Linked DNA regions of Styela clava. The protein of the gene in region 2 purifies or fractionates together with the protein of the main gene of each other region. This does not show direct contact. Links are inferred from orthologs where the notes say so. Each region holds a gene or a part of one and is shown on either strand. Other genes may lie near its edges. The genes, in order: RNA 3'-terminal phosphate cyclase-like protein and ribosome biogenesis protein BMS1 homolog.

Region 1 (15,195 bases), on a different chromosome or scaffold from region 2:
GTAATTCAGTATGCAATAAATCATTACAAAAAAGGTTCTATTGAGTTATAATTATAATGTTCCAAAAAGAATCAAAAGTTGAAGCATTACTAAATAAGCCTGCTGAAAAAAGATACTGTGTAGCTCTTAATAAAACTTCCGTAATGATCAATCAGATTTTATTACAATCAACTAGTAAGACGTGAGTCAATATTCATAATGACTTGAGTCTATCCATTGAAAGGACTCAACTTGACTCAGTTATAGAAACCGATTTGACTGTGCAGTGGTTGAATTGACTTATCAGTTCCATGACTCCCGATCTTAAATTTTGAAATTCATTGACTCAAATACACAACTACGTCAAAAATTATGATTATTATTCACTAAAAACAATATTGAATCTTTAATTTATTTGGTCCCCATAGCTTATATCCATAATTAACTTCATAACATATAGTCTCCATAACTTGTATCATTACTTACAACCACCAAATCATTCATTCATTATTTTATTTCGTTTATCTCATAGTTTTGCTGATATTAGAGTATCCAATCCCAACACAAGTCATTATAACTTTATCACCGCCCATCCTCCCCCCTTTTTCATCATGATCAAACGTTTTTGTTTCAAGTTTAAACATTACTTGGAAAAAATCTCTTATGTGTCTTAGCAATTCTATTGTGTAGTCCGTTAAAGAACCAACCATCAATTTAGAAACATCTTGCTCGCAAAGAACCATGAATAAAGCTGCTAGTCCTTGATTTACAGAGTCCACACATCCTCCGTTGAATATTTCTTCGAGCAAATCGTTTGCAGTTTTTGTGCCTAATTCTTCAGGAATAACAGGTTCACCCTGCCCTTTGGGATTTGATGAATTTTCCACGGCTAAAACAACACCTGTTGTGGTTTCCGCGGTTAGTACGATTCCAAATCCAGGAGATTTCCCAGCAGCATTTCCTTTCAAATGATCAGCATAAATATAAATATCAGGCAAATAAGTATTTAACACAGACCTTGATGATTCTATAACACGATTTGGAATTTGTGGAGAAACATTTGATGCAAAAGCAGTACCACGTATCCGTTTTATTTTTCCTTGGTCGAAAAACTGAAGGGGTCTTAATTTTCTTGGATTTGGACATTGAAAAAACACCTCACCTCCCCCTTCAGGGGCAAATCCTCGCTTAATAACTTTGAGTTCCAGGTCATCAAGCACTCCGAACATTCGCATGACTGGTAAGCTTGTCAATCTATAAAAATCAACTGTCGGATCAGATGAATCATTGGTTACTCCACGAAGCGTCGCTTTAACCCTTTCTTTACAAAATGGTGCAAGGAAGAATATAACCTCTAATAAGTAACTGATGGAACGCTGAGGGTTACAATCATGATCTATCACCCCACCTATTAACAATCCAGGCCTAAAGATTAAAGTAGTTCCAGTGACATTGATTTTCGTTGTGGTTCCATTTGTAATTTTTTCCAGAAATCTAAGAAGATTAGCTTCGTATTCATTCAAACCAGGACTCTCGCTGTTGTCTCTGATCGAGGAAATACGAACAGGTTTTCCACTAAGAATTGACAGAACCAATCGTTGTCGCAAGTAATTTGCTCCGACATATTCTAACATTTTAAACCAGTTTAGTGAACAGATTAGAAATGTAAATTCTGAGAATAAAAAAAGAGAAAGGTACCCTATTAACCAAGAATACAATGCAGAACTGACACTGCCATACAGGAGTTGTCATATTATATTACTAGTTAAAAATATTCTTGTCTATCAAAGCAATATATCGCCGGATGAGAACAGAACAGGCCTAAGTCACAATTTTGAGTTTTGAGAAAAACGCAAAAAACAATTTGGAATTTTTTTATTTTCGACTTTCTAGATATTCACACTTAGTAAAAACCTGAGCTCTGAGTATTTTGATGTAGATGTCAATATCTTTGTAATCAATATTTTTTGGCACTTCAGCTTTAATTCCTTCCTGCTTTTTTAACCCCATAATGGACTTTGGCCCATTCTGTTCTCAACAACTTCTGAATTTTTTTGTATGGGATGCAAGGTAAAACAAGGTGACTTAGGCCTACGTTGCACTGAAGAAATTTTTAGGGATGCAAGTTTCGGACATTTCATTTCTGATGTTCATGCCCATCATATTGGAACTTGGGACTATCTTTTTTCAGTATTTTGGGGTTTTGAGCCATGCTCTACAAGGTGGTGGTCTTGAAATTCTCAATTTTCATAATATTAAAAATTTTAGCTGGACTTAGGTCCATTCTGTTCTTAACTTCTACAGTCCTAAGTCCAGCTAAAACTTTTATTATTGAGAAATTCAGGATTTCAAGACCACCACCTTGTAGAGCATGGCTCAAAACCCCAAAATATTGAAAAAAGTGAATTTTGCAAAAATGTGACTTAGGAGGCCCCTTCTGTTCTCATCCGGCGATATGTTGTACAGTATGATATATATAACAGAGGCTTGCTCTCAAGGTCAAAATTGACTAGGTACGGTATAGCTGCATAGCGAGCAACTGATTCATGCGTAAAAAGAGCTTGAAACAGAAACAGTGCAAACTGGCAGAACAAAACCAATATTCTACCCATTCCAACACTCAGACTAGTCATATACACACACACCATCTTTCAAACGATGTAAACAGCTAAAATAACCATTTCGGTTTCTTCATAATCATAATCACATTCCCCACGAACTAAAATGTTGTAGCATACGAGACCCGACACACTGACAAAGAGGAACATAATATGAAAGCCCTTGAAAGACGCTGTCCACTACCGCCACCAGCGTGGGAATTTTAGCCAGGCATGTGTGAGAAAGCAAAGCTACTGCCATCCAAATCGTTATTCTTGGGAGTATCTGGCACTGTGGTCGAAGGTTCTAAGTTGAAATTGTATTTTATAATAGTTTAGGATTAAAATAAGGACCTCTGGGTCTAGACCGTGCGCGAAGAGTTGCGCTGGCATTCCAAAAAAATGGCTGGAAACTCCCCATGATGGGAATGATTTCGGGAGTAGATTAGGAATTTTGAAATCGGGGATTATATTCAACAATTCGGTGGATAAATACGGAAAAAAGTGACCGAACTTCGTTCGTTTTATGATCCGACTACGTCTTTTTATTTTTACTTCTGTTTTCTCTGGATTTATTTTTTTTGCCCTATTTTTCTTCTTTATTTCGTATTTTCTATCTACTTACGTGTACTGCGTGTATTTTCTATCTACTTACGTGTACTGCGTGTCTGCGCTCTGGCCCGTCTTGGTTCCATTTTTTACTCACCTTCTTCGCCTGTCGATCGCAATGCCTTCTGGACCGCAGCATCGATCGGTCTTTCCATCCCATCCTTCGATGGATTTGATTTGTTCTTGAGGACCAGGTTGTGTACCAGGTAAGGGAGTTCAGGATATGCGCGACTCTTGGTGCGCTATCTTGTTTTAATTCCTTCCTTCTTATTTTGTCTTAATCCTATCTTACCTCTGAATTTTATTTTATTTATTAATTTGTTACCTTCTTTTTTTCCTTTTCCTGCTGCATCGCATCCTGCTTTTTCTTTCTTCTATCCCTCTTTGGGGGTTACTGAAGGAGTTCCGCCTTCTTGTCCGCACTTTCCAATTCTTCATATTTTTCAGCCTCTAGGTTTTCTTCTAATCCCTCACTCTTTCTTTTTTTTTTTTTACACCCTCACATGCTGCCAACCGTTTTTCCCTACAGTTTTTTTCTCTGCTGCTGCCATCACAGTCTTTCTTTTCACCCTCATCACAGTACACCTTTTTTCCTTGCTGAATTTGCTTTTTCCCTCTTGGGTTCTTCTCTCACAGCCCCTTCGCCGTTTCTGCTGCCCATTCGGTTTTCTTCTCATCCTCATGTTGCCCACCGTTTTCCCCTACAGTTTCTCTAAGTATCCCTGCGGCTGCTCATCGGGGCTTTTTTCCCTTTCTTTGGGATCCTTATTCTTATCAGTCTTTTTCTTTTCACCCTCCTTCCTGCCCCATCGTTGCTTTCTTTCCCCTTTCTTCGATCCCTGTTTGTTCATTTTCTTTTCACCCTCATGCTGCCCACCGTTTTTCCCTACAGTTTCTCTTCTTTCCGTTTCCCTTTCTTTTCACCATCATGCTGCCCACCGTTTTCCCTACAGTTTCTCTGCTGCTGCTCATTGGGCTTTTTCTTCGATCCCTTTCTGATCCTTTCTTTTCACCCTCTCCTGCGCCCGGCCTTCTTGGTCTTGCTCACCTTCTTCGCCTGTTCGTCTCGTCTTTTTGTCCGCGGCCCTTCGTTGCTCCCTGCCTGCCCTCCTTTATTTCTATACCTCTCTTACTGCCATCCGTATTTTTCCTTCTGTTTCTGTTTTTATTTTCTATTTTGTCGTAGGGCCCTGTTCACTTTCTCTATTTTGTTTTGATCTACCTCATCTATTTTTATTCATTCTGGCTTGGGGACTTGTACCTCCTGCAGGGTTCGAACCCAGCCTTGGTGCTTTACCGTACCTACACGCTTCCTTTGCGCCACAGCTTCTGACGAAGATGTGAGGGATCAAAACCTTAATTAATTAGCAACGTCACGCTTGGCAACCCTCTGCTATTTACTTCGACAATTAACAGGCTGCGTTGATCAAGACACGTGCATTCATAAACCATGGTTTTAACTTCACGTCTCACTGTTGGCATCGTCATTGGGAAATACGGTGACCGTACATTTGAACCCATACATTTGCGCCCGTATATCCGCGGGATCAATCTATATGAGGGTTATAAAATCCATAGGTTAGGGTTAGTATGGGTTCAAATATCCGCAAAAAAAACATTTCCATAGGTGCAATAGTATGCAGGTGCAATTGTCGTGGGTTCAAATTACGGGTTCAAATGTACGTGGGTTCAAATGTGAGCGAACCGGAAATACACTTATCTAGAGCAGGGGTTCTCAAACTTTTGGTGTTGCGGAGCCCTTGAAAAGGTTAACTATTATTCACGGAGCCCCGAAATAAATGTTAAAATTGTTTCTTTCGGATTAATATTCCTGAGCAAGTTAAAAGTACTTTACTCAATTTAAATGCTGAACCTTTTTTGAAACGGTTAATACAAGTCATAAAAAAATCTAAATTTCAAACATAAATTATATATACTAAAGCTGTAAATTTGACACTTGACAAACATGGTCGAATCTTTTCCCTTTTGACATGTTTGGAAGACTTAAAAGGCCGCTAATAATGTGCGCGATTGCATTTTGTTACAATCGCCGATTTTTCCTCAGCATGGCGTGTTTTTGAACCTTTAAACATCTTCACGCCGGTGTTTATTCTCCCTGATTCAAATTTCTTTCTGCATATACATGTATTGTTACACAATGACGACGTTAATGGCTTTTGTGTTCTCGTGGGGAATTATGAGTTCAATGTGAAAAACATGTTACCATATTATAGTCATCGGCGACGAAATGCTAAAAATAATAATTAATAAAGAGATAAATCTGCAACTCAAATTTCTTGATTAAAAAGCGGCATTCTGAAATATTAAAACTAAAACTTAAAATGGAAGATCACACGTTTGGTTTCAGCAGACTCACCTAGGATTGAAAACGCTTTTATAGACATTGCAAATCACAGAATTTGGTGTTATGTTAGGTTTTCATTGTAGTAACTGCGAAATCGAAACACAAGTCAATTGTGCGCGCGATGTAGGCCTACCTTTTTTTCCCTTTTTGAAACTACCGACGGAGCCGCACGCAATCAATTGTGCGCGCAATCCGCGATGTACCTTTTTTCATTCTGAAACTACCGACGGAGCCGAATGCAATAAAATAAATTTCAATTGTTCGTATTTTGCCCAGACATTGTGTTTTTTTAAAGGGCGATATCTTGCTTAAAAATAATCTCAAGTGCGAAAGAACAAATCAAGTTTGACAAATCCCAATATCGCAAAAATACGACTCCAATTTATTGATAGTTGGCAGTTTATCACATATTTTATGTTATTTCAGAATAATATTCTTCCATTTTAGTAATCCTAATAGTAATCTCGAATCAAACGTGAGTAACGATGAGCACAATTACATTATAACGACGAGACACGTTAAATGCTCGCATTGGTCATGGATTGAATATTTCACACAACAGAAATCTCGTTATACGTTTTTTTTAATCGCGAAGAATGTTGCGCGGTAATTTCCGATTCCAATTTTGAACCACCTCCCTCTTAAGAATCCTGGCTGCGCTCCTGCTTATAAATAATGTCATTTTTTAATTCAGCCTCTTTGCCATATTTCGAGGCCATATTGTTGTCAGATTTTATCAAAGCTGTTATTGCTTCTTTAAACAGTTACAAAATTAGTCAGTATTTTGAAAAGTAATCGAATAGCTCGCGGAGCCCCCGGGTTCCTCTCGCGGAGCCCTGGGGCTCCGTACGGAGCACTTTGAGAACCTATGATCTAGAGCATAGGTTCTCAAAGTGCTCCGTACGGAGCCCCAGGGCTCCGTGAGAAAAACCTAAGGGCTCCGCGGGCTATTCGATTACCTGGCTACTTTTGTAACTGTCCAAAGACGCAATAACGGCATTAATAAAATGTGACAACATTGGCGTCGAAATATCGCAAGGCCGTAATTCAAATATTACATTATCCACAAGCAGGAGCAAGCCAGGATTTTAAAGAGAGGGAGGTGGGTGTTCAAAATTGGAATCGGAAATTCTTGCGCAACATTCTTCGCGATTAGGCCACTCGTTAAAAAAATACCTTTCCAGCAGATAACGAGTTTTCTGTCGCGTAAAATATCAATCTATGGCCGACGCGAGCACGATAATTTGATTGTGTTCATCGCTACTCGTCTTTGCGTCTATATTACTATTACGATTACTAAAATTAAAGAATATTATTCTAAAATAACAGATTTCAGCAATTCAGAGATTTCGACAAATGTGAGCCGTTCCTATAACGCTGACTCCGCCCTATCGCATGTCTGCCACTCAGATTCTTTCAAAGATATATATCACCCTTTTGGAAAATCACAAGATCTGGACAAAATACGGACGATTAAAATTTATTTTAGTGCAATAAAAAAAATTGATTGATATACTTCACAATAATTATCTTATATATCGTCACATATCGAGAAAAAGTCGCATGCGGCTCAGTCGGTAGTTTCAGAATGGATAAAAGTAACCTATATCGCGCGCACAATTGACTATGTTTCGATTTCTGTTACTACCGTATAGTTCCCAAAGAAAACCTAAAATAACACCAAATTTTGTTATTAACATTGTCTTAAAAAGCTTTTTCAATCTGTCACGAGTCTGCTAAAACAAAACTTATGGTGTTAGCTGTTTTAAGTTTCAGTTTTATTATTATATAATGCCGCTTTTCATTCGAGAAATTTGGGTTGCGAATACACCCCTCTATTAAATATTCTTGGCATATCGTCGCCGATGACATATAATATACTAACTTGTTTTTCACACTGAACTTATAATTCCACACAAAACAAAAAGAAATTATCGTCTTCTTCGTGGAACAATTTATGCATATGCCGAAAAAAATTTTGTGATTAAAGGAGAATAAACACCGACGTGCAAATGTTTACTAAAAAACATATCAAACTGACGAAAATAATCGGTGGTTTTATCAAGATGTGATCGCGAACGTTATTATCGATTTTTCAGTTTTCAAAAATATCAGAAGGGAGGTTCGACCTCGAATTTATTAATATGTTTGTCAAGTGTCAAATTTACAGCCATGATATATAATTTATCTGTGAAATTTAGATTTATTCATGGCTTGTATTAACCCTATTAAAAAAGTTTAGCATTGAAATTGAGTAAAGTAATTTTAACTAACTAAGGAATATTAATTGGTAAGTAACAATTTTAAAATTTATTATGGGGATCCGTGAATAATAGTCATCCTGTTCAGGGGCTCCGTAACACCAAAAGTTTGAGAACCCCTGATCTAGAGTCACTTAGATCAGGGGTTCTCAAACTTTTAGTGTTGCGGAGCCCTTGGAAAGGTTAACTATTATTTACGGAGCCCCAAAAGAAATGTTGAAATTGTTACTTTCCCATTAATATTCCTGAGTAAAGGTGAAAGTACTCAATAACCTTTCTCAATGGACCTTTCCCCGACCTTTGACCCCTGAAAAATTTCTCCCATACTTTACCATTGCAAAATTTTCGGGGTTATTTTAAGAGTGCTTTTGCGAGTTGACGCCTGTAAAATGAGGTATATGTTACAAACCATCAATATGATTCATCGCATACAACAATCTGTTTTTTAAAAGTACCGGTAAAGAATTTTAGCCTAGTCTATCACAGCTATTTCTACATTAATTTTTTATTACTGCAATTAAATTAAAACTCCGAGGAAGACAGATTGATCATTGCAATATCTGATTCATATTTAAGTTTCCGAAACACAACAGAAAACTAACGAATAGAGTTCAAAAACGCGAAAACGAGGTAATGTTTACAACCGCGCTTGAAAATCTGTCTGAGTGAGAATAGTGTCTGAGCGGATGCGAAAAGGGAGCATTGTTACGTCACTTTTTGTATCTTGCTGATTAGCCAATGTCACGAAATAAACAAGGAAGTAAATGCTCGGGGAAAGGTCCATAGAGTTAATACAAGTGATAAATAAATCTAAATTTCGAAGATAAATTATGTATACTAAAGCTGTAAATTTGACACTTGACAAACATATTAATAAATTGAGGATCGAATCTTTTCCCTTTTGACATTTTCGGAAGACTCAAAATGACGCTGATAATGTGCGCGAATGTATTTTGTTACAATCGCTGATTGTTTTCGTCAACATGGCATGTTTTTAAACATCTTTGCGGCGGTGTTTATTCTCCCTAAATCAAAAATTTCTGTCGGCACATAGCCTACTTGTATTGTTCCCCAATGACGACGATAATTGCTTTTTTTTTCTCGTGGGGAATTATGAGTTCAATGTGAAAAATATTATAGTCATCGGCGACGAAATGCTAAAAATAATAATTAATAAAGAAAAACCGCAACTCATTTTTTGATTGAAAAACGACATTCTGAAATATTAAAACTTAAAATGGAAGATCACACTATAAGTTTGGTTTCAGCAGTCTCACGTCAGATTAAAAACGCTTTTATAGGCATTGGAAATCACAAAATTCAGTGTTATGTTAGGTTTTCTTTGGTTATTCATCGTAGTAACTGTGAAATCGAAACACATTAAATTGTGCGTGCGATGCACCTTTTTTTCATTCTGAAACTACCGACGGAGCTGCATGCAATAAATTAATTTCAATCGTTCGTATTTTGCCGACACCTTGTGATTTTTTAAACGGCGATATCTTGCTTGAAAATAATCTCGAGTGCGAAAGAACAAATCAAGTTTGACAAATCCCAAGATCGCAAAAATACGACCCAATTTATTTATAGTTGGCATGTTATCAAGTATTTTATGTTATTTTAGAATAGTAAAACCTTTTATTTTAGTAATCTTAATAGTAATCTCGAATGAAACGGGAGTAACGATGAGCACAATTACATTATAACGACGAGACACGTTAAATGCTCGCATCGGTCATGGATTGAATATTTTACGCAACTTAATCCGTTTTTCTTTTTGATCGTGAAGAATGTTGCGCGAAAATTTCCGATTTCATCCCCATCGTCTCTTAAGAAGCCTGGCTGCGCTCCAGCTCATAAATAATGTCATTTTTTAATTCCGCCTCTTTGCCATATTTCGAGGCTATATTGTGTCGAATATTATCAAAGCTGTTATTGCTTCTTTGAACAGTTACAAAATTAGCCAAGTCAGTATTTTGAAAAGAAATCGAATAGCTCGCGGAGCCCCGGGGCTCCGTACGGAGCACTTTGAGAACCTATGACTTGTCTTAGATCATCTTTACAATCTTTTTTTATTTATTTATTTTATCTTTTACATTATTTATCGTTATCTCGCTTGCTTAATTGCCGCGCATTGTTACATTTGGGTGGTGTCGGATTAGGTCGTATTGTTTGGCATCCTTCTTTTAAATCGGGAAAATGTTATCATTTACTTGGGGATAGCGTAGTGGAAGTACAGAGATAAATGCACAGCAAAAGTTGAACACAACAGTAGTAAAACGGAAAGTTAAATCATATATCAAAAAATAAACCAAATAAAAAATATTCCAAAATCAGCATAACCACCGCAAAAATACCTTATTGAAATACCAGGATTTTCATAAATGGTATTCCCTGATCGGGACTAGAAAAATGGGACAAAATTTATGAATCGTGAATTTTTGGGATCCCGACTCCAAATATGGGGAATAGGTAATACTCTTTATCAGCCTCTCTATCTGCCCAAAACTATAGACCTAAATTTTCTGCGAACTTTGAGCGGGTCCCTTCACCGTGAAATGACATTTTATGTGTGTTTCTAGTTTTTGTTTTGTATTTCCAGTATGGCAAAAAAATAAACAATTGACTGCAGATTTGTTGAACCCATCGAACTCAATCGGATCCGTTTAATTTGAGGTAAATAAAAGCCATCAGAATGTCATTCCTTTTTCACAACAAAAAATTTCTTCATTTTCGCCAATATGACGAGAAGGAAATTGTATCATGGGCTGAATCACCCATTAAGCATGTGCTTAGCCTAATGGCATCAAGAGAAAGGGGACACCAAAGAAATTGCCATAGTCGAACTTTGGCGCCTCGGTGTTTAATGAAATAATTCGAATTGATCTGACGACCGTTTCAGTTTTTAACAGTTTTGAAGTTACGCTGAAATGGTACCTGATTCATTTAACGACCGACGCTTTTAACAAAGATACTGTTAAAAACGTTTATTATTAAATGTTTAAATAGCATTTCACCGTAACTGTAATACTGTTAAACATCGTCAGTCGTTATATGTTTGAATATCATTTCACCGTAACTTCAAATACCTTAAAAGAGCACAATTTGATGCAACCAATATGAAAAGGTGGTTGCGCATAACAGTAATAAAGTTAAATAAACAACTTTTTAAAGTGATCATTATTCCACCATAAAAAATAGCCAGAGCTTTACAGCCCTGTTTAAAAACGAGAAAATCTTTCTACTAAATAGATATTTTATTTGATATCAATAAATTCAATACAATTTCACTAAAAATTACAATTAAGAATATAATTTTCAGTAATTCTTCCTTTATTTAAAAAATCTGCCGCAAAATTTAAATTGCATTTTAAATCCTCGTCTATGTTTTCTTTGTTACAGTTCTTGCAAACGGAAAGGACTCATGAAATAACCTAAATAAATAGAGAATTTGATGTAAAAGTGGATTATTTATTATAAAATACCGTTGATAACTGTATTTTTACTATGACATCACAACGGCTGTTTAATCTGACGCAAAAAGCACATTACGACTGTATTAAACCGGAAAGTGAGCAGACAAAAATTGTAAAAGTATTGTTTAATTGTTTTACGTCAATAAAATTTATAATAGGTGCGGATACGCGTAAGAAATATGTATTACCTTTCCCTGCTTTAGAAGGGCAATCGTCTATTTTATAGTAACGAATGTCTTCTAGAGCCTCCCTGAAACTGACTGCCTTTTTGATCTCGTTGTTTCGACCACTGGAAGGTACAAGAGCAAGACAGGACTTTCCAGGAAAAGCATTGTTTGGTTTGATATATTTCGCCATCTTTGTGATTTCAACATCCTTAAAAAAATATATATTCGTTAACAATTGTCGTTATTAATTTATTGCGAAAGATCTAAAGATGTTAAATCGCCGTGACGCGACAGAGTTTACAGTATTGAATTCCGCGTTTGAGGGGCTTTTTGGTGTCTCGTCCAAACATAGCATTAAACCATCGCTAAGCAGTTTTAAACTATCAGTTAATTCGCCGGTTCAACTTCCAATATATATCTGATATTATATTTTATTTCCAAAAATTTCAGCCATCCACCTCCCTTATAATTCTTGACATGATAAACATATGTGTCGCAATTCACGACCGCAGTATATGCAGTCACAATTGTGCTATACAAATAGTTTCAAATAACAAATATAAATTGAAACATACCTCTGCACTTGGTGAGAGTTCATCATCGCTTGGCAATTCATTCTGGAAATCAAAAATAATGTTTTTGTCGAGTATTATTAATAGTAATACTCTACATTCACTGAATTACATTACACTGACAATATCAGAGAATTGCTAGAAATTTATTTGGAATGAAACAAACAAATATAAACTTACAGATGATTTACTTGATTCGTCAGTATCGCTGTCAAAATCATCCTGGGTTGACAAAAAGTATAGTTATTAAGATTTCATAAATTCAGCTTATATAATATAATATATGGCTTTATAAGTTTTTGGACAAGTACGTATTTCCGTTTATGTGACTTCGAAGCGCAGATATACTTTTTTCGCAGTAGTTGCAACGTTTAAATCTGGAGTTAGAATAACTTTGTCGGGGAATCGTTTGTTTTCAATTTCATTTGATTATGCCAACAGCGCTATTTAGACTCCGATAACTTTTGTAACTTCAAATTTTGTACACTGCGACAGGTTGGTAAAGCAAACGTAATGATTCGCCTGGGTATCCCACATCCTACCATATGTTACATAGAATCATATCCTGATTTTTATGAAAGTGTTAATTCAATATTTACTTCGTAATCATCTTCGCAATCTTCATCGCCCAGTTTTTGACTTTCCTCATTGGACTGAAAACAACAATAAAAATATGTTTATGTGAGCATTTAAAAACTGTAAATTTTTACCTGTGCTATCTGTTGGGTTTCTGTGGGACCAACTATTTATCCCTCATGTGGATCCGTGTGCATATAATGCCAGGATGCTGTAGCAAGAATCAAGATAACTATTCTGAGTTTTCAAAAAGTAAGGGGTTAATTTTCGTCAATTGCTCACTTTTCTCGTCAATTTGTTTATAAAACTTAACAAACATATTACCTTTGATTTCTCATCATCTTGATGAGTGTCGTTAATTTTTTTCTCTTCTACTTTCTCATCGTGAGATTCCTAGAATAATCAAAATGCAATACTCGTACTAAGAAATCCTGCTCAGGCAAAATGTGTTGCGTGCAATTTAGGTTTAAAATTGAAATGTCTACCAAGGCTATACAGTGTTCGGAATTACGAAAATAAACATCACAAAAAACTGAATACTAAGTAATGCAAAGTCAGGCAAAACACAATTTGTGAGTGAGTTTATAGCTGCCGCGCTTATGCTTTTTGTAAAAAATCCCAAATCTGCACTAGTTTTAAGTGCTACAGTTGCCAACAGGGCTCAGTCAAAATGCCAAGAACGCAAAGGCAATTTCGTAATATTTTACCAATTGATATTGGCGGCACGTTTACACATATTGTTGCAGATGCATCTCTATCTGAAACAGGCATAAAATTTAAATTATGGCTTTTGTCTATTGTTATTACTCAATCGCTCTCTTTTTAATAAGTCCAGCATTTCGAATACGGAGAAAAACTCACATTTGTAGCACTGGCAAGCTCATCAGTATCGCCAATTGGAGATGCCGATGGCAATGGAGATTTGTTCTCTTCTACCTGAAAGTAATTCATGAACGAGATTATTGAGATTAAATAAATTAAAAATTAAGCGATTTTGGGACGGTAATGGTTCATTATTGAAAACTTGTACAATTTTACCTCTTTTTCCATTTGTGATATTTCCTTGGAAGACATTTCCACATTGAGGTTGTCTTCGACGTTCTAAAAATACGAGTATGGTTTTGCATAAGGATTTATGTATACCATGCAATAACCATTGGATCTAGTTTATTTTACTACCGTACAAGTACTCCCGTAGTGTGTGTAACAGGTTAAGGTTAGGCCATAATTTTATTCCGATTTTCTTTATTTTAGTTCTATTACGATTTCGGGGGCTGTATCTGTTAGCCAAGTGATTATACCCCTGCCCATAGTAATCAGTCCCTTTACACAACTTGATGTAAAATACGCGAACAAAATTAGTTACCTCCATATTGATACACACATTTCTGGAGCGCTACTGCACCTAATCCCATACTCATCCACGACCAATTGCCGTAGGAAAACCGTAGTTAGCTATATTTCAGTCTTCGTCTTACGGGACCAGTAATGGGTCCTAAACCCCGAGTCAGGTCATCTTCGTCTCGAGTCGACTCAATCACTAAGGTAAATCGTGAATGACTTCAGCCTATTCTACATTATATGAATATGAATTGAAATATCGAGAACAAATTTTACGTTAGCTTTGCCAGTCAGCAAAGTATTGTTAGAATCTTCAATTGGAAATGGAGTTTCTATCGGAGCTTTGTCGTCAGTTATCTAGAGGTAAAATACGATCATGAGTGATAGAAACTTTGTCGGATGATTGCACGATTAAATGACTGGAACGTTACCAAGAATGTAAATGTTTCATAACAATGATACTTGTGTAGTATGTGTACCAGGTTAGGGTTAAGCCATATTTTTTTTCCGATCCTCCTTAGTTTAGTTCTATTACGAGTTCGGGACTTTCTGTGTTAGCCAAGTGAGTATACCCCCTGCGAATAGGTTTCAGTTCTTCTACACAACTTAATGTGAAGTAGGCGAACAAAATTAGTTTCATATTGGTACACATACTTCTGGAGCGCCTTGGATAAATATATCATCATAGGTTACATACTGGGGTATACCAACTTTCTATAATCTATCTATACAGTCTACATTTACCAGCAATAAAAGAATTTTAAACGTTGCGGTAAGTCTCAAAGGTTTTGCATTTTGGCTCGGACTATAGAAGAGGATTCATCGTTATTTAATACCTTGTTGTTGGGTAAAGAACGCGAGTTGCCATTGGAAGAAAATTCTGCTTTGTTGACTTCATTTTTCTTTCCCTGTGTGAAATTACAATCACAAGAATTATAAACTCAGCTATGCTTAAGTTATAGTGAAGAATAACCAGATAATTCTCCTGTGTTTAATTTTGGAATTGTCGTATCATGAATATTCCTTACTTTTAGTCAATGAACGTCTGATCTTACTAATTTCCATTCGCAATATTGTTTCTATTGAGTTAAATGCTGTTAAAATTGCGCCTAACGCAACGTTCGTACGAATGTCTACTTATCATGACCGTCAATCAAGAAACGAAAATTCAAAACACTGAATACCATTGTGTATTGTGGGCGCACTTTGCATATCGGTTCATCGTAAAAAGGATCGTATGCTCTTCTTTTAG
Region 2 (17,286 bases):
ATTCCCAATCTAGCCGCAAAACGATTCAAATAATTTGTGATTCGATTTTGAATATTCGGTTAGCTTGAACAGCCCTACTTGTCTGGCGCGTCGAAATTCCTAATTTTGAAATAAAAAGGTTTTAAATTATTTCCGAATTCAAATATTCATTATATTGTATTAAATTCCGACGAAATGAAAAGCATTATTTACCTGGTGGTCTATACAGTGAAGAAGGTGGAATTCCAGTTCCTTTTGTGATGTTATCGAAACCTGAGGCTACTTTTTTGAAAGCTTCACTATCTGTTGCAGATTTTGCAGCTTCACTGATTCCTTCTGACACCCGACTTGCTTGTTTGACAAATTCTGTTTTACTGATTTCTTCACTGGCCTATCAACAAATTTAAGAAATGACATGAAAACTAATGATCTCTGTTAGTGTCCAATTGTCTTTGAATTTGATTGAAGTACTGTTTATGGTTGATATAACAGCATTAGAAACGGTTCTAGGAAAATTCGCCGTAGGAAATCTTGCTGCAGAAAATTTCGCCACATAAGAAAAATCGTTGCATGAGCATTTGCTGTAAAACAAGTATTTGTGATAAAAGCAGTTAGGTTTTTGAAGTACCTTTTTATTAAAAAAAGATTCTTATTTAAGAGCATACCCTAACCCTATAAACTTAACTGTTTTAATCAGAAATACTTGTTTTACAGCAAAAAGCTTGAGATGATTTTTTATGCGCGTATTTTCCTATGGCGAGATTTCCCGCTGCGAAATTTCTCGCCGCAACTTTTCTGGACACACATTAAAACACGCCTCTCATTTATGCATGCAATAAGTTGGCTGAAATATTATTTACTTAACACCTAAGGCTGTGACTAAGACGTAAGGCTGTGGTCAGCTATAACGTTGGGAAATCTTTTTATATTTGCTGTCATATCCATAAAAAAATAACAATTATGATGACTTTTTTATAAATGCTTTAAAACAATTACTTAAAATTAATATTATTCACACATTTCGAATATTTTGTTGTTATTTTAAAATAAGAAGCACCTCAGATACTCTGCTTTTTATTTTTCCAAGTGTTTCACGAACGGCATCTGTACCTTGTCCAGTTTCTCGACTGATCTCCTCATATTTTTGTCTTGCTTTTTTAAGTGCCTGTAAAATTACATTAAAAAATAGATGTCATTGGTACATTATTATTGAAGACATTCTTCTACGCAGAAGATATATATCAAAGAGATGGAAAACCGGTAATTAGGATTAGATATGGTGCAATAAAATCTGAACTAGGTATTATAGCACACAGGAAACTTTTACCTCTGAATCTTCAAGTTCTTGTGCTTCCTTTCGAAATTTTTTAATACTCTCTTTTAATTCTGCGTCTTTGTTATATTCTTGTTTAAGATTATCTAAAAAATTTTCAAGAAAACCTCGTTTCGGTGAATTGAATTGCACTGATGATACCTGAAAAAGAAATTTGAAGCATTGAACTTTTATAATGTATTTCTGAAGGTATTAATTTTTTTTTATTATTTTTATTTCAGAATAGATGTATTATTTCAGTATCGACCAATATATTATATGCACGTATGAAGAGGAAAATATTTAGTTACAAACTTACAAGTATCTAAATCAGGGGTTCTCAACCTGGGGTTCGCGAACCCCCAGGGGTTCACGAGAAGATTTCCAGGGGTACTTGGACGGCAGTCAGAGTTTTTGTGTGTTGCTGTTTTTTAATACCCTTTATTACTATCAGAGGAAAATGCGTGTCGATTGAAACTAGATGCCAATTGGAACATAGATTTTCCCTGATGTTGCGTTGTTGTGATTTTGAATGAAACAAATTTGGTTTTTAGACAAATTCTACACGAAATAATTCACTAAATCAAAATTTATCAACGTTGAAGAGCTGATATATCTTGAAAAGGCCAGTTTATTCAAGTTTGACATGAAACTACCCAATGGATGTGGGCTGCTAGGCACAGTATTAGAATCAAAGATTTTTAATCGGTCACACCAACATAGTAGAGTTCAACACCATGAACTTGAATTTACAATAGCAATACTGAAATGAACTTACAGCAAGTGTTCTTGACACTGGTCTTAAAACATTCCTTGAATTAATTTTTGTTTCGACCGTACATGCTGTTAAAACAGGTATCGCACATCTTTGAAAAGTTCCTCTAGCGGCACCCCACATTGTGCTGCTTTATTTTAATTTTATATTACAAAATGAACTTTGACAAATACCTGGGCAATAAATATAATCATAGATGAGTTCTCTGTCCTGATTTCATATATACCATTGATCGAAACAATAATTTATAGGTGCTCCCGTAGTATGTGTACCAGGTTAGGGTAAGGCCATAACCTTCCGAATTTTATTCCGAATTTTCCTTATTTTAAGTTTATTACGAGTTCAGGGACTGTCTCTGTTAGCCAAGTGAATATACCATAACCCCTGCCCATAGGTTTCAGTCCCTTCACACAACCTGATGTAAAGTAGGCGAACAAAATTAGTTACCTCCATATTGGTACACACACTTCTGGAGCACCAATTTATGTCCAAATTTAAGATGATTCCAGTTTTTTCAAGTTAGAACGCTGATTCACAGTTTCTCACCAATGTAATTTATATTGCCTTGAAATCGCAAAGAATCCAATGCCTTAATAATAATTCTTAATTGAGCATCAATTCACCGCCAGCACAGATACCACTTTTTGTCTACTCTGTTTTACAATTCATGCAAGCCTTACAAAGGACCAATGATCAACATGAAATCCATGTCAAAAGGCCCAATCATATCATCCCCATTCAACCTCATTAAGTCGTGGCCAACCATCTTCTGGAGGTGGTTGCATCGACAAAGGAAGAAAGGGCAACTGCTTCAAAGAATCTGGGAGTACAGTTGATGTTTGAGGGATGTCAGGGATTTTCCGCTCAGAGACCGCAGCACCACCAGTTTTCTCAAGCTTTTCTTTGCTGATTTGTTTTTGTTTGTTTAAAGAAAGCCAGTTTTTGACAGTTCTATTGCTCATTTCATCTTTTTTTGATTCTTCATTAATTTCTTTCTTTATTCTCTCTATTTCGACATCGCTAATATGACGGTATCGGCAACTAGACCCAAATTGGCAATTCCCTGAATTCTGGTAATATTTGCATATTCGTGGCTTTGCAAGTTCGTCATTCAGCTTTTGTTGCTTAGTTTTGAATTTGTCATAATAGGCCTTCCGCAACTGTTGATGCGTACTGCTCACAACATGCTTCTTTCTCGCATTCAGATTGTCTAAAAATGCCCGATCGCAGAATTCACAGTAATAACGTCTTCCCATGTTTGTAATATTCACAAAACAACTTCAGTCTTCATGCCAATCAGTACTCAAATGTTAATTTAATGTGCCTGAAATTAGGTAATCATCTAGGCAAAGAAAATAATAAGACACTTAGTGAAATAGGACTGTTCCTATCCAGAGGAGGGAGAAAGACATACATGAAAGCACAATTTAGCATTAGTCTATGATGGCATCAATAATTACAATACCATTTCAAATACAGTAGTATGCAAATAACCTTAGTTTTGACACAAATACATGTCTTTTAAACAAGATGCAGTACGAGAAAAAAATGACATGTAAGCTACCTGACAGTAGACTGTTTGTTTATTCAATTAACATTATTCGAAAAATTTAGCTAAGAAACACAAATAAATCCCCTAAAAGTATTTTCAAAGAATATGCAAGAATAGAAACACTGCCTTTCATGCAATATCTCTCTTTTCAAAAAATTACTATGGATCAATCAACATAACACTGGCTGCCTTAGTGGAAAATACAATTGGATGATATTAATAAATGTAAAAGAAAATTGTTTCTATTTGGTATCTATTTAGTTAATGCCCTTATAAGTCGAAAATTCTGAATAGCTTTCATGCTTTAATTTAGCATATAAGATACAATGAGAAGCTCTTCAAGTGTAACTAAATTTCCTATCTTTTCTTCTTCTGTTTTTGATTCAGCATTGCGTAAGCTTTCCTTTTTGCTTCTTTATGTTTCCATTTATTTTTGATTTCCTCTTTTTCTAACATTTCTCTGTGCTTGAGATATTTGACCCTCTTCTCTTGTTTGGTCTTTTTCTTTTTGTCATGATCAAGCGCACGCAATGCTGTCATAAGTTCGACTATTTTTCTATCTTTCGGTTCTCTGACAATCGCAACTTTCATCATTCCTTCTTGTCTGCTTTCTATTTTTTCTCTTCGTAACTTCGGTCTTACTTTATATGGTAATTCTTTTTGTAATTTTTTGGGTATTACAACAGGATTGAAAACCCTAGTTTCTCTTTCGATTGGTCTATAAAGGGAGTCTTCGTTCGGTTGTAATTTCTGATCTTTTTCATGACGCAGTTGTCCGACAGTTTTCATTGCACTCCAACTATCTTTGTCGGGCAACATTAAATTTGCACAATTCAAAAAAAATTTTGGAACATCAACTGGACACCAGGTACGACAGAACACTATGTCACTCATCAATATACGATCTTCGAAAGATGCTCGGAAAGATCCGGCTTCGGATCCTCCGCTATTGTTCGGGCCATCAGTAACCGCTCTTTTTATCTGTCCTCGTATGCCGCTGACAGTTCGAATGGCTGCTCCCTCAAATTTAGCAACTTCAAGAGATGAGTTGAACATTCCTTTCACAAAACAGGTATTTTTAAATATCTTATATGGATAACCAATAAGCTTCAATTTTTTAACCAATTTTGTACTTTTATCAGATTCTAAAATAGTCCCAGAGGCAGTGATTCTAAAATTAGGAACGTCTCTATTTGCAAGAGCTTGGATTGCTAAGAATCCTGTACCTTGTGGGCAAAGAGGACCCCACATTACAGCCCAACAATGCATATTTTGTGGTGTATATTTAAGATATCTCTGTCTCAAATTGTGATCTTCCATATAATACATCGGCAAAGATTGAAATCTTCTCCAACCCATAGAAAATATCATTGGATTACGTGTTTTCAAAATTTTCGGATACCAGCGATGTTTTTTAACTCGAACTCTGATAAAGCCTGTTTGAATTTCAGTTGCCAACAAACCACCTGCTATAACTGGGTATGTTGGATTGAAATATTTTACAAACTCACAAGGAATATCGTGCAGTTCAATGCGAACATACATTCCGGGTCTGTAGCCTTCATATTGTACTCTAGTTGCGTCATCCATATCCTCAAATTCAGCACGGTTCAATTTCGCTTGTTCAGCCAGTTCAGTTTTGACAGAGTCGAAAAGGCTTCCACTTGCGGTTGTTACTTCACCATTTTCTTGGCTGACGTCATATTCCCGATCGAATATTTCTTTCATTTTTCGTTTTCTGGCAAGACGTTTTTCTCTCAATCTAGCTTCACGGTCATCGGGTTTCTTAATTCTAACTGTATCAACATCATCAGAATCACTTTCATTATCTTTAGCTCCAGATGTGAAAGATTGTCCTGTTTCCAAATCTTCAAAATCACCATACAAATTTTCATCCTCTTGTAATAAGTGAGAGGCGTCTTCATCTTGATTCCAATCACCAGTGACAAAACAATCACTGATACTTTGGCGTATATCTTCACTATTTTCATCCCCATGTTGTCGCCGCAAAGTTATGTTGCAGTCTTTATTGTCTTTCGTATTTTTCTTTGCTTTCATATTCCGTTTGACGACAAATAAATCACCAGCGACTTTTTCATCTTCCTCGGACTCAGAAGTGTCTGATTTGATTTCAATTTTACCATAAACCAACTTTGGAAGATTTTTCATCATTTTCTGCCTGTGAATATACAAATTTTGAGCTTTCAATTTCAAATTTTCTTTCCATTTCAGTTTACTTTCAGAAATGCCATTTGGTTCTTCTATTCCATTTTCAGATTCGTTACAACTTTCATCATCGGAATCTCCACTTTGATAACCTTCCTCATCATCGTCTGATGTAGAATCTTGCTGTTCACCATCTTTCATAGAAAAAACTGCTCTTCTCCTAACACGATTTGTTTCAACATCAAATGTTTTTTCTTCCATAGGCATTTCAATCATACTTTCTGCTTCGTTGTTCGTAATTGGTTTCATTCCCTCCAGAAGTGAAAATTGACTCTTTTCCATTTTATGATCAATAGTTTGTTTTGATAATGTCATTGTTCCAATCATTGAATCATCTACTATTTCGTTATCAATAGTTTCTATTTCACCGACTTGTCCATTATTCCTTTGTGTCGAGCTTTGCACATCAATATAAACAGCATCCTTATCATAAATAATTCCACCAACTCCAGACATAGGAGCATAAATAAGTCTTTCTTTTACATCCAGAGTACGCCTTTGTCTTTTTTCTCCCTTTTCGGGCAAAGGGCACGGGTCCGGAAGAAATGAGATATTTTTAATAATTTGATCCCCGACACCAGGAATATGAATTGATGAAAGATTTTTTAGTGGCATTCCACGGACGTAACCATACAATGATATATTCCGATTACAAATAGAATCTTGTCGAATTTTTTCAGGATCGGTTAGGTCTTCCATTCTATCAGTTAATAAATATGAATGTGTTGATCTCCATATCAAAGGTCTGAACTTCATTACGCTGATAAATCGACATAAATTATGAATTTCCATTTTTTGATATTCACCATAGACCATTCTGCTTAAATAAAACAACTTGGCACCTTGGTATATTTCAGTCCAAAATCTATGTTTTAATAATTTTTTTGTTTTCTTTATTTTCTTCGCATTGTCAATTGCATCCAAATGAGTCAAAACACCCATTATTTTTGGCATACCATGCACTTGGCAGATGTTCAAAAATTCAAAAGTTTCCATTTCAAATCCAAATCCTGCATCAACAAGTAAAAGTACCAAGTCCGCAATTTTTGCAATATCAATCATAGCACTAATGTCGTTCGGACATTCGATAATTGTGAGTCTACGATTTTTACCAGATACGACTGTGACTGGTCCTTGAATATTAGTCAGTTTTTGCTTTGTATAATTCTTTATAATACATTGTAACAAAGTCGTTTTACCAACCTTTGGTGGACCAACTATAGCAACAACGACAGGTGGTGGCACCTGTGGGGTTCTATCAACGACAGGTATATGATGTTTTTTCGTTTTGATGTCTTGTGCCCGATGAAACGACTTGGCTAATTTGTTAACACTTTGGATTGCATACGCTTTTGGGTTTTTCTTTTTAGTAGTTGCATCCTCTCTGCTGTTGTCTTCCTTCAGTTTCCTTTTTTCTGCTTTCCTGCCAGCTTTTCTTACTTTGTGTTGTTTTGATGGTTTATTATCTACATCCACATCCATAATGTATTATTTTCTAAAAATATATATGTATTGTTTAAACTCAATACTTTCAAAGGGATGAACGATGCAAAGTAATTGAATTCAAACGGATTCGATTACGGTTGTGGCCACTGTAAAATATTTTCAATAATTTGAGTACACAATTTATTGATTATCGGTATGTCTTGTACATGCACAAAGCTGAAAATAGTAGAATCAGTATTCGCATCAGTGTTGGCCCAATTCTTTTGCATGCCAGCATGCTTCCTGCAGTTAGACAATGTAGTTTGGGGACAATACCAAATAAAATATATAAGACATATTGGTCCCCTGGCTTTATTTCAAGCAGGCGTTTCGGTATCATGTCAGAATGTTAAACATTGGAAGCTTGGACTAGCATATTTCAATTTATTTCAGTATTTGAAGTGCATAATGAAGCATTAAAAAGAAAAATTACAAAATGCCTAGTTTAGTAGTCAACATCTCAGTATTTTATTGGGCCAAAATATAAGTTGATGGCAACAATCGGGCCATGTTTGCAAGTACTTCTAGAGGACGTGGCACAAACATTAGGTATAGCATATTATGGTATTCCTAACACAACGTCATTCAAAATTTATGTCCCTGAGACATCACAGTAACGTAATAACGTAACGACTCACTAACGTCAGTGATCTCTCTTTTATCGGTATCGTTTCACAAGAAAACGAAAGAAATAGACTGCTCGATTTCGGATGATTGTCTGGCGACCATCCGTATACTTTGGAGGCCGTATTACGTCACTGCGACTTCGCAGCGATGTAATTTTCGGATGACATAGTCAGGTGGGGGTTATGAATGGTCATTCCTGAGCCAGGCCAACTAGAAGTAGGGTGGCTTAGCCACTTTGCTTAAGCCATTTAACGAACCACGCGACATTTCTCACGCGTCATCGTCCACTAGTAGCTCAGCAAAATTACACTAAAATACGGGCACAAACAAAAAAGCTACGACCGAAAACCCGACCGGAGGAAAAAAAACGGACCATTTTATCATGTTCCAACTACCCATTGTCTCCATGAAAATCCATACATATCTAAGAGATAAACAGATGAAACTTGGCAGGTGGGTAGAGTTGTGTTTCTTTTAACCATCTTTAAAGTTTCGCGTTTCTACATTTAAAGGAGGGGGGAATAGGGGGGTGCGCATGTCCAATACGCCGATAATATCTTTGTCGACCAATTTGCGACCACCGCCAGACAGTGTTTTTGTCTGTTTGATTGCTGTGATGCGTTGCTTTGTTTATAATTTGACGAGTTTTGTCAGAAATAACTGTGTTCTTAAAATATGACAGTCAGAAATGCAATTATAAGCCCAATTTTTTCCCGCATGGCTGCGTATGCTCTAGTCTTGACACAGCAGAAACGATGTTCAAGGCTTGAAATACGTGGTCGCACACTGGTCGTTCGATCACAAATTTGTCTTCCGAGTGTCGTACTTTGGTGGTTTGTATAGCTTGAACCCCTCGTCATAGGGAGTTATTTCGAAGTTTAGCGTGTAGAATAAATGCCAATGCACCTACTGTGAAAAAATTAACAGGTTAGAAATATTGGTTTTTGTTTTATAACGATTTGAATTTAATTGTCCACAGACTGGCTCCACCACCCTACTTGCGGCGTGTACTTAAGGAGACCCCCGGATTTTCGGGTTCTATTTAGTTTCGTACCTGACTGCCCGAGGTACTTCTAGTGGGCGTACGCGTACCGGTAGCATAACAACTTTAGCATCTATGTCAATCCTGACTGCGTCATCCAAAAATTACGGTACGTCACTACAGCACTACGGTTGGGATGCGGACAACTCGACTACACGGACAACTCACCAGAGACAACTCGACTACAGAGAGGCCTGGTGAGTTGTCCGTCTTTTCACATTTTCTACGGCGGTGTTTTAGGTATATAGAAATGCGTTTTTGATATTTTTAGTGCTTAAATGTTGATTCGATCAAGCTATTTATCTCGTTTTCTCCAAGCAGCGATCCCGATATAAGAGATCGCTGCCGTTAGTGAGTTCTTTATCATCGACGCAGATGCCACTTTCAGACTTCAGGCGATCGGAGATATACTTTGGCAAGCTCTACTGCTCTATGACGTGATTGTGACATGATTTTTGGATGGCGTAGTCAGGTGGGGGTTAGGATTGTCCTGTAGAAAAATTGTTGTGCTACCGGTACGCCCACTAGAAGTTTTTGTTTAGGTACCGTACTTAACTACCCGAGACCCGGATTTTCTACATTCAGACATTTTGAACAAATATGATACCGGTAACCCAGTACCGGTAACCCATTTTATATACTAGTCCCACATCCAGACATAGTACGCTTTATTATTGTTTCAACTTATGGGCAGACCTACGCACTTCACTACTTACGGTACTAGACTACCGCTACCAACGTCTGAAGGTTGAATCTGTTAAATGAAAGATCAAACAATGCGATACTGGCGGTAGCGCAAATCTGCAGATAGAGAACCTAAACACTTTCGAGAAAACTTGCAACATGCTGTATAACCAATGTTGCCAGGTTTTTTGTTTCGGCTGTCGTAATTCTTCGCTTGGAAAGGTCCGGTCCGGTAGGTAATTGCCAGATTTGGCGAATTCTAGTGATATTGGCGTTTGGCCAAATGCAAATAAGTAAATGTATGTGTTTTTTTCGATTTTCCGTTACAACAAAACAATACATGGCAAAACAAACAAATAAACGAGAAATCAGGAAAGTAGGCGAAATCTAAAAAGGATTTCAGACGTGCTGATGCACGTGCCCCCTTACCCCAAACATACGGGCTTTGACACCAAACAGCAAACAACACAATTGGAATAAATTTAAAAAAAAATACACAAAAGATAATTCGGGCGTAAATACTTTGGTGTGGATGCGGAGTTTGAACATGGACTGCAGTTAAGGTAAGGTAAAAGGTTTATTGGCGTCTTTTACAACCGGATCTTTTGCGCCAAATAACAAAGAGAGTAGTCAGTATGGTACAATAAAATAGGTACACAGCTCTCGTTTGGTGGATATAGCAAAACTAATAATAAATTGAATCAAATCAGGAACATTGAAAATACGAATACTTTCCCAGGGCACATTCATTTTTGCTGCTTCACGTCTTAATTCGCATCGTAAGTTATTATACCTGGGACAATATAAAATGGGAAACAGTTCATTTGTATCACATCGAATACAGTGCCCTGTGGAATGTAGCCCTATTTCAAATAAATGATAGTTGAGTCTGATATGTCCAGTTTGAAGACGAAAAAATACTATTTCTTTTTGGCGGGAAAAATTGAAATAGACAGTCTTTTGGGCTATATGAGTTCGAAAGTTCTTATAATGGCTTGCAGTATCGTTAGCTTGGTATGGTAAATTTCATTTTGCAAGACATGCTTGCTTGCACAATGTCTTAGCTTCTTTCAATGACCGTTGAAAAACAGCATTGATGACAATTCCATTTGCTACGTCTTTCGCCAGTCGATCCACTGCATCATTACGCTAATACCAATATGTGCTGGTTGGTATCCACAGAAACTTGATATCAGTCGTGTGACAAATAATAGAATGAAGTAGTTGTATTTTTGTCGATAAAAAATGCTTAACATTCCAAATTTTCTGTATGCTTTCCAATGCAGAAAGACAATCGCACAATATTAATACTTTTGAAGGCCTATTTTGTGATATCCATATCAAACTTCGCTATATATATGGCAGTTTCTACTATATATATCTGTATAGGTAACGAGAAGTGTTAAATACAACAAACAAGCGGTGCGCGATTGGTGATGATTTATGTGATTACAAACGCACATGCACTCAACTAATAGTCTACTGGACATAAACAATAATAATAAAAGCAGCGTAAAAGTAAACAACAACAAACGAAGCAAAATATGACAAGAGAATTTCACGCTCTGGCGTTCCAACTTCAGTTTCAGTCAAAATCCATGTGTATTGCGTAAGCAGTCTTTTTTGGAATTCATCGTGAAATATCCGTTACATCTGACGTTTGGCAGTTCATGTTATCCTCCGCTTCGACCAGTTTTTCGTGATAAACTCCATGCAGGTCAGCGTGATCTGATGCAAACTCACCCATATCGTATCGGTAATGTATCCGACTAGTTTATGTTGTGTTTGCATTGATTCTTACATGATAAAAAAAAATTATCTGAATCTACTTGATTCCTAGAACATATTGTAATTTATTATTTTTCCTGATAATTGTTTTTATGAGTGCCCGTGCACAGAATTCACCAGTAGGCTATCGTTTAGATTTAAGTTTGTATTTATCTTCTCAGGAGGATCTGTGTTAGTCCGGTTTTTCAAGTTTTCGTCCAAAAATTTCTTACTTATACTTATATACTCCAGTATTCCACCGTTTAACACCATGTCAGCGTTCGACGGCGGTCTGATCAGTTTCAAGGGATGAATAGCATGCGTCAGCAAGGCCAGATGATGTGGCTGCATAACGCATTGCTAGATTTTAAGATACAAATTACCACGATGCATTTATACAATTGTTTAGTATTGTTACTTTAATATTTTCGACGAAGCAGATAGCAATAAGCCCAATACCACAAATATCAAATGTTAATTACTAGAACGATGCGCTCAAAATACTTTACTTTTACGAATTTCTACATTTTACGCGTTGTTAACAAAGACCTTATAGCGGACTTCCAAGGTGGCCCAGTCTCAACACGCGCCGAAGTTCTAGGGCAGGGGTCGGCAACCTACGGCCCGCGGAGTAAAATCATCCGGCACGCGATGCTTTACTGAAATTTAGCGACAAAACGCTCGTGGAGCAGATTATATTGAACACGGTGTGGACATATGAATCGTTTTCTTAAAATGTTGTTGTCTGCTTGATTTCTAAAAAAAGTATCTACTTGAAGGAAATTTGTATTCAAATTTGGCAAACAATGCCAGGTGACCAGAGTGTCACCTGGTGTCGAAAAGCTATCAAGCGTAATGCAACAACAAGTATCACAATAAATGTCATTTTTAAAATTTTTTGCCAAGTAAGACGACTTGAGTCCACGAGTGGCAGTGTTCGCTTGCTATTTTAGGTCTAAAATTTTAACTTACTGATCTGTGTAAAAAATGTGGTTCATCAACCACCCGTTTGGTTTTAAACTCACTTAAAAAAAATATGTGCGACCACAAAGATTTGCAACCTTTAGTTTTGGCCCGCGAGCGACAATAGGTTGCCGATCCCTGTTCAAGGGCAGCACCCTCGCACTTTATAGGTGACGTAGAACTCAAAACAGTTAGGAACAGTTTGACTTGGAACAATGGTAACTCGACTTAGTAATATAAAGTTTTTTAAATTTATCGGGGCACGAGATTTGACTCGTTACTTGAGAACTTTCACCCAAAACCATGAAGTATGCTTCCATTTTGCCCCCAGAACAGGGGTCGGCAAACCACGGCCCGCGGAGCAATATAATCCGGCCCGCGACGCTTCACTGAATTATAGTAACAAAGCAGCTGTTTTGACGATTATATTCTTTACGTAGAACAGATTATAACGCAACAAGTATAAAATTCCCAATTACTCGTTTATTAATGAGCCTATAATTCTATCTACCATAATTAGACAAATGGCAACAAAACGCAGAAAAGTTCATTCAGTTTTTAAGCGGCTCGCGTAACGGTTTATTACGACCCGCCGAACTTAAGTGAAATAATTCAACACTCTCTCTATCTTTAGATATCCCCAATTTTGACCTCATTACCACAATTTAAGCACGTGTATAATCGTAACAATTCAATTATATTGGTATCTTGATAATACGTACCGACAGAAGCATCTGCCCCTTGCCGGCGCGCAAATATCGTCCCGCTTCTAATTTTGGCCCCCGGTAAATTACCTTTAAGAACCACTGTCTTGACTAATACTGTAGCAGGAAAAAATAAAATACAATTTCAATTTATGGTGGCGCCATTCATTTATTATTATTTTTTTTTTTTTGAATCTGCAATATCTTTGTAAAACAATAAAAAAACTAAAGTATAAAATTAAAACGAGTTGTCTGTTTCTCGGTCTGTCCGTCAAGAAACTCCATTTTAATGATCTGATAACCGTAGCTCGCCGGAGTCTGCAATTTCTTCAAGTTCATGCTCAGCCACGAATTGCTTGAATTCCTCTGAAATAGAAGTGAAAGGACGTTAATAGTGTATGTTATAGGAGAAAGTCACAAATTGAATCGGCTGTTTTGAACAAAATCTTGTCAAGTCCAGTAAAATCAGAAAATAGATCAATCAGGCCAGTGGTTTTCAAACGGTGGCGCGCGTAGACAATTTTTTGAAGGCGTGAAGCTAACTGAAAATGAAAATATTCATCAGATTTCATCTTGCCGGCCTTCTTTACATTTCAAAACTTTTCATTTTTTCATTATTTACGTTCCATCCACGTATTTCTAACGCGTTTTTTAAATAAAACATACTTTCGCCTAACTATCTGTTATTTGTTGCTTATTGTTAGCTATTTTTTTTTTTGGAGGTGGGGCGCGAGACTTGACAAATTCTGAAAAAGGGACGTGCAATTGCTATTTATTCAATTTAAAGTTGCTTCGCGCAATCCAGTGATATGCGCAACATTCTAGGTTAAGGGTTCAGATAGAGCTAAAAGTATGGTCAGACTCGTGAACTTACAATGTGTGAAATACTGTGACTTGACTAAATATCGAATAGGAGAATTTTGGCCTATTTCCAAACGTTATAACACCCTACATATCAGTTCTTTCGTATCCAGTGCAAACACTCTACCGTCAAATTAAACAAATTACCGTCAGGCATGCTGGCAAGTTCGTCCAACATTTCCACCATGAACTGAGCTTCACCATCTCCAGATTCTGCCGCAATTTCATCAGCGATCATGGACATTGCTTTCATATAGGCTTCTTCGTCCTAAACAAAGAGAAAGTTGTGCTGAAATTTGGAAGCTACAAAAGTAACCAATGTCAACGGTTATGGCGTTGTGCTTGGCGTTAGGAACACGTTGCTATTTGATCTTTTGATTACTCTATGCGAGAGTGCAGGTTGAAATTCAGCGGGTATAATTATGTGCGACAGGATTGCTGTACTCCTTGGCGTCGTGGGTTTTTTGCATAACAGTTGGGGCTTCCTTAACTATCAAGTACACGTTTCTAAGACGAATACCCAGTTAATCATATTAACATTGACTCGTAAATATGGGCAATACTCAAGAGTTGCCATTCAATACTCTGCTTTATCAGTTAATAGCAAATAGTTCACGCCAGGTAAGATTGTTTCAATAATATTTCGTCACGGGCATTCGCGGCAAAGCGAAGAATTTTTACGACATTTGCAATGTAAATGGAAAACGTAAACATTTGATCTTCATACGACACGTATTCGCGACTTTTGCCCCTGCACAAGTATCACTTATATCTCTAGAATTTAAACTCGAGATTTGTAACCTGTGATGCTAAAACGGTCAAGTCTTAACACTTTAACTCTCTGACAGCTGTTGACCCAATTTATTTGACATGGTCTTTTTAAAGTTATTTTTTTTGTCAACCACTAAGCCCTAAAGCTTCTCTTATGGATTTTTAAAGGCGTGTGCTAGAGTTCTATTCAGCAATATATCTTTAAATTACACTCCGAAAAAAAAATTTTTTTGCAAAAATATCTCAAAAATTTCTAAAAATAAATTAGACTTTTAGAAATTCTGTGTACAGTAGAGGGTTAATAATTAATTCCTAATTAATTAATTTTTTTTTCAACGTTTTCGTCAAGTTTTTCCTAACACAACATCACCGAAACGCCTATTATAGCATAAATGGTTATTACTCTGAAATTCACAATTGTATCTACAGGTGTATCAAGTTCAAGGCTAAAATTACTGATTTTGATGACGTCACAGCTCTTATTATTACTGCACAGACCACCCCCAACGCAAAAAAATTAAATTTTTTCGACGGAAATGCGCGTAGAACGGCGTAAACAATCCCATACGCGCATTTACGCGTTAAAATTACCATTAATTTTACGTTTTTTTTAACTACAAAAAATCTCCATACTTCTGCCAACTATGGAGCAGTCAAAATCATATTTATCAAAACAACACAGCGCCAGGGATGGTCAGGGATAGTATATATGTCTGAAAATACATGCTAAACCAACAATAAGTCATTATAAAGGAGTATTTCCTGTCTGAGCTGAGTCGACATTTTCAGACGTCTGACAGGCGATTTTGAAATCCACGCTATTTATAGAATTCGCACGATGCGTCACGGCTGGAAGGTTCCATCGCTTCTCTCATATCAGGCGATAAAGTCAACAAAGAGCTAAGAGCGATATTAACAGTAGTTTACCGAGCACAAAATTAAGCGTAAATATTCTCTCATATGAGCTTAGCCGCTGGAAAAGGGTTAATAAACGCTAGCTTTATGTCAAACAGATTATAGTGGATTACCTTTTCTCTCAGCTCTCTCAGCTCATTGATTTCTTCTTTGTTGTTCCATACAGTTGTAAGATATTTTTTGACCGCTTCTATTGCAATGTGGCCCCCGCTATAAAAGTAAAGTGTCGTAAGTATTCAAATAAATGAAGAGTATAATATATAGAAGAATATAATAATCGTCGTTTCAATTTTTTTAATTAGACTCCCTGCACCGCAAAAACTAAGCATCAGAGAAAATTGATATTCGAATTTTATATCGCACTGGAGAAAGTGTTTCTTATTTTTACCACGGACACACCGAAAACTTAACCTCAAAATAAATTTGTTCTTTTTATTGTTTAAATCGGGTGGGCAAATTGTGGCATCGGGCCGTATCCGGCCTGTCGAAGTGTTTCATCCGTCCCATTAAGAATATAGTTTTATTCATATAATTTTCCGTGAAAAATATCAATGAAAATAAATTGAGCTTGAAAATAAGTTGAACGTCACTTGCTACTTAACTTGGACGTCACTTGCAACTTAAAAAAGTAAATTCTTGCCAATGAACTTAAAATTTTTATTTTAATGTTAAGAATACACAAAAAACACTATTAGTCTAGTACATTTGAGGTGTGTGACATGCGAAGAATTCGCGATGGGGTACTCCCGCTGTATGTGTACCAGATTATAATAGTTAGGCCATAGTTTTATTCTAATTTTTACTTATTTTAGTTCTATTACGAGTTCGGGGACTGTCTTTATTAGCCAAGTGAATATCCCCCAGTCCATAGGTTTTAGTCCCATTACGCAACTTGATGTAAAATAGGCGATCAAAAGTAGTTACCTTCATATTGGTACACACACTTCTGGAGCGCTCGCAAAGACAATAAACTGTTCAGTGTAATAAATTAAATATTTATAGGATCAATGTAAAGAAACTTACGTAGTTCCTCTAATACGTTTGTAGGCCTTCACAACCCTCTTAACTATCCTTCCTACTCGTCGAAAAATTCTCCTCCAGCCCCGAGACTCCTCCACCAGTAGGAGAGAGAATGCGACAAAAAGAATAGCTGCAACTTTCAGACGCATTTTCTTTGAAGATTTTCTTTATTCTGAAACCTATGATGTAAACAAATTAATACACAGATTGTTTGATGACAGGTTCGAACCCAAAGTCAGTAAAACATAGATAATTAAATAGATCGCATAGTTAATTTCAGTCTCGCCGTCGTTAGATGACTTTGGTTCGCATCCCAATCACCATAGCTATTTGACAAAAGAATATAAATAAATACCTCGTTGCTTTCAAACAGTTGGTCTTTGCTCTTCGGCGTGTTGTGTTATCCTGCCCTCCACAGCGTGGATTTATATTTTCTACGTGCATATTCAGTATCCTGCGCATATACAAAGAATTCAATATTGAACAATAGGTAATACTCTATATCTACAATACTACAATAATGTTGCATAATTTAATGAATATCATTTCAATTGCCACAATGGCGTGTATTCTGGAAATATCTTATGACACAATAGCCTGCTT

What was found.
Region 1: the proteins of ribosome biogenesis protein BMS1 homolog (region 2) and RNA 3'-terminal phosphate cyclase-like protein purify together in Homo sapiens (co-immunoprecipitation; 4 studies listed by BioGRID and IntAct, with this or other methods). This does not show direct contact. The link is inferred for Styela clava from reciprocal best matches to the Homo sapiens genes BMS1 and RCL1.

The regions. Positions count from the first base shown.
Region 1 is NC_135262.1:5,502,134-5,517,328, forward strand, and holds RNA 3'-terminal phosphate cyclase-like protein, read right to left. Parts: upstream 1,673-15,195; 5' UTR 1,614-1,672; coding exon 501-1,613; downstream 1-500. Other genes in the region: uncharacterized protein LOC120332205, read right to left, coding at 11,208-11,245, 11,476-11,662; uncharacterized protein LOC120332662, read right to left, coding at 11,842-11,925, 12,030-12,071, 12,207-12,248, 12,626-12,679, 12,927-12,995, 13,464-13,538, 13,641-13,703, 14,220-14,300 and 2 more. UniProt on the Homo sapiens protein: As part of the small subunit (SSU) processome, it plays a role in 40S-ribosomal-subunit biogenesis in the early pre-rRNA processing steps at sites A0, A1 and A2 that are required for proper maturation of the 18S RNA.
Region 2 is NC_135264.1:2,033,186-2,050,471, reverse strand, and holds ribosome biogenesis protein BMS1 homolog, read right to left. Parts: upstream 7,618-17,286; 5' UTR 7,327-7,617; coding exon 3,976-7,326; 3' UTR 3,408-3,975; downstream 1-3,407. Other genes in the region: mitochondrial import inner membrane translocase subunit TIM44-like, read right to left, coding at 193-370, 1,037-1,144, 1,307-1,453, 2,070-2,189; zinc finger matrin-type protein 5-like, read right to left, coding at 2,795-3,322; uncharacterized protein LOC120334427, read right to left, coding at 13,403-13,482, 14,125-14,245, 15,777-15,873, 16,687-16,832. UniProt on the Homo sapiens protein: GTPase required for the synthesis of 40S ribosomal subunits and for processing of pre-ribosomal RNA (pre-rRNA) at sites A0, A1, and A2.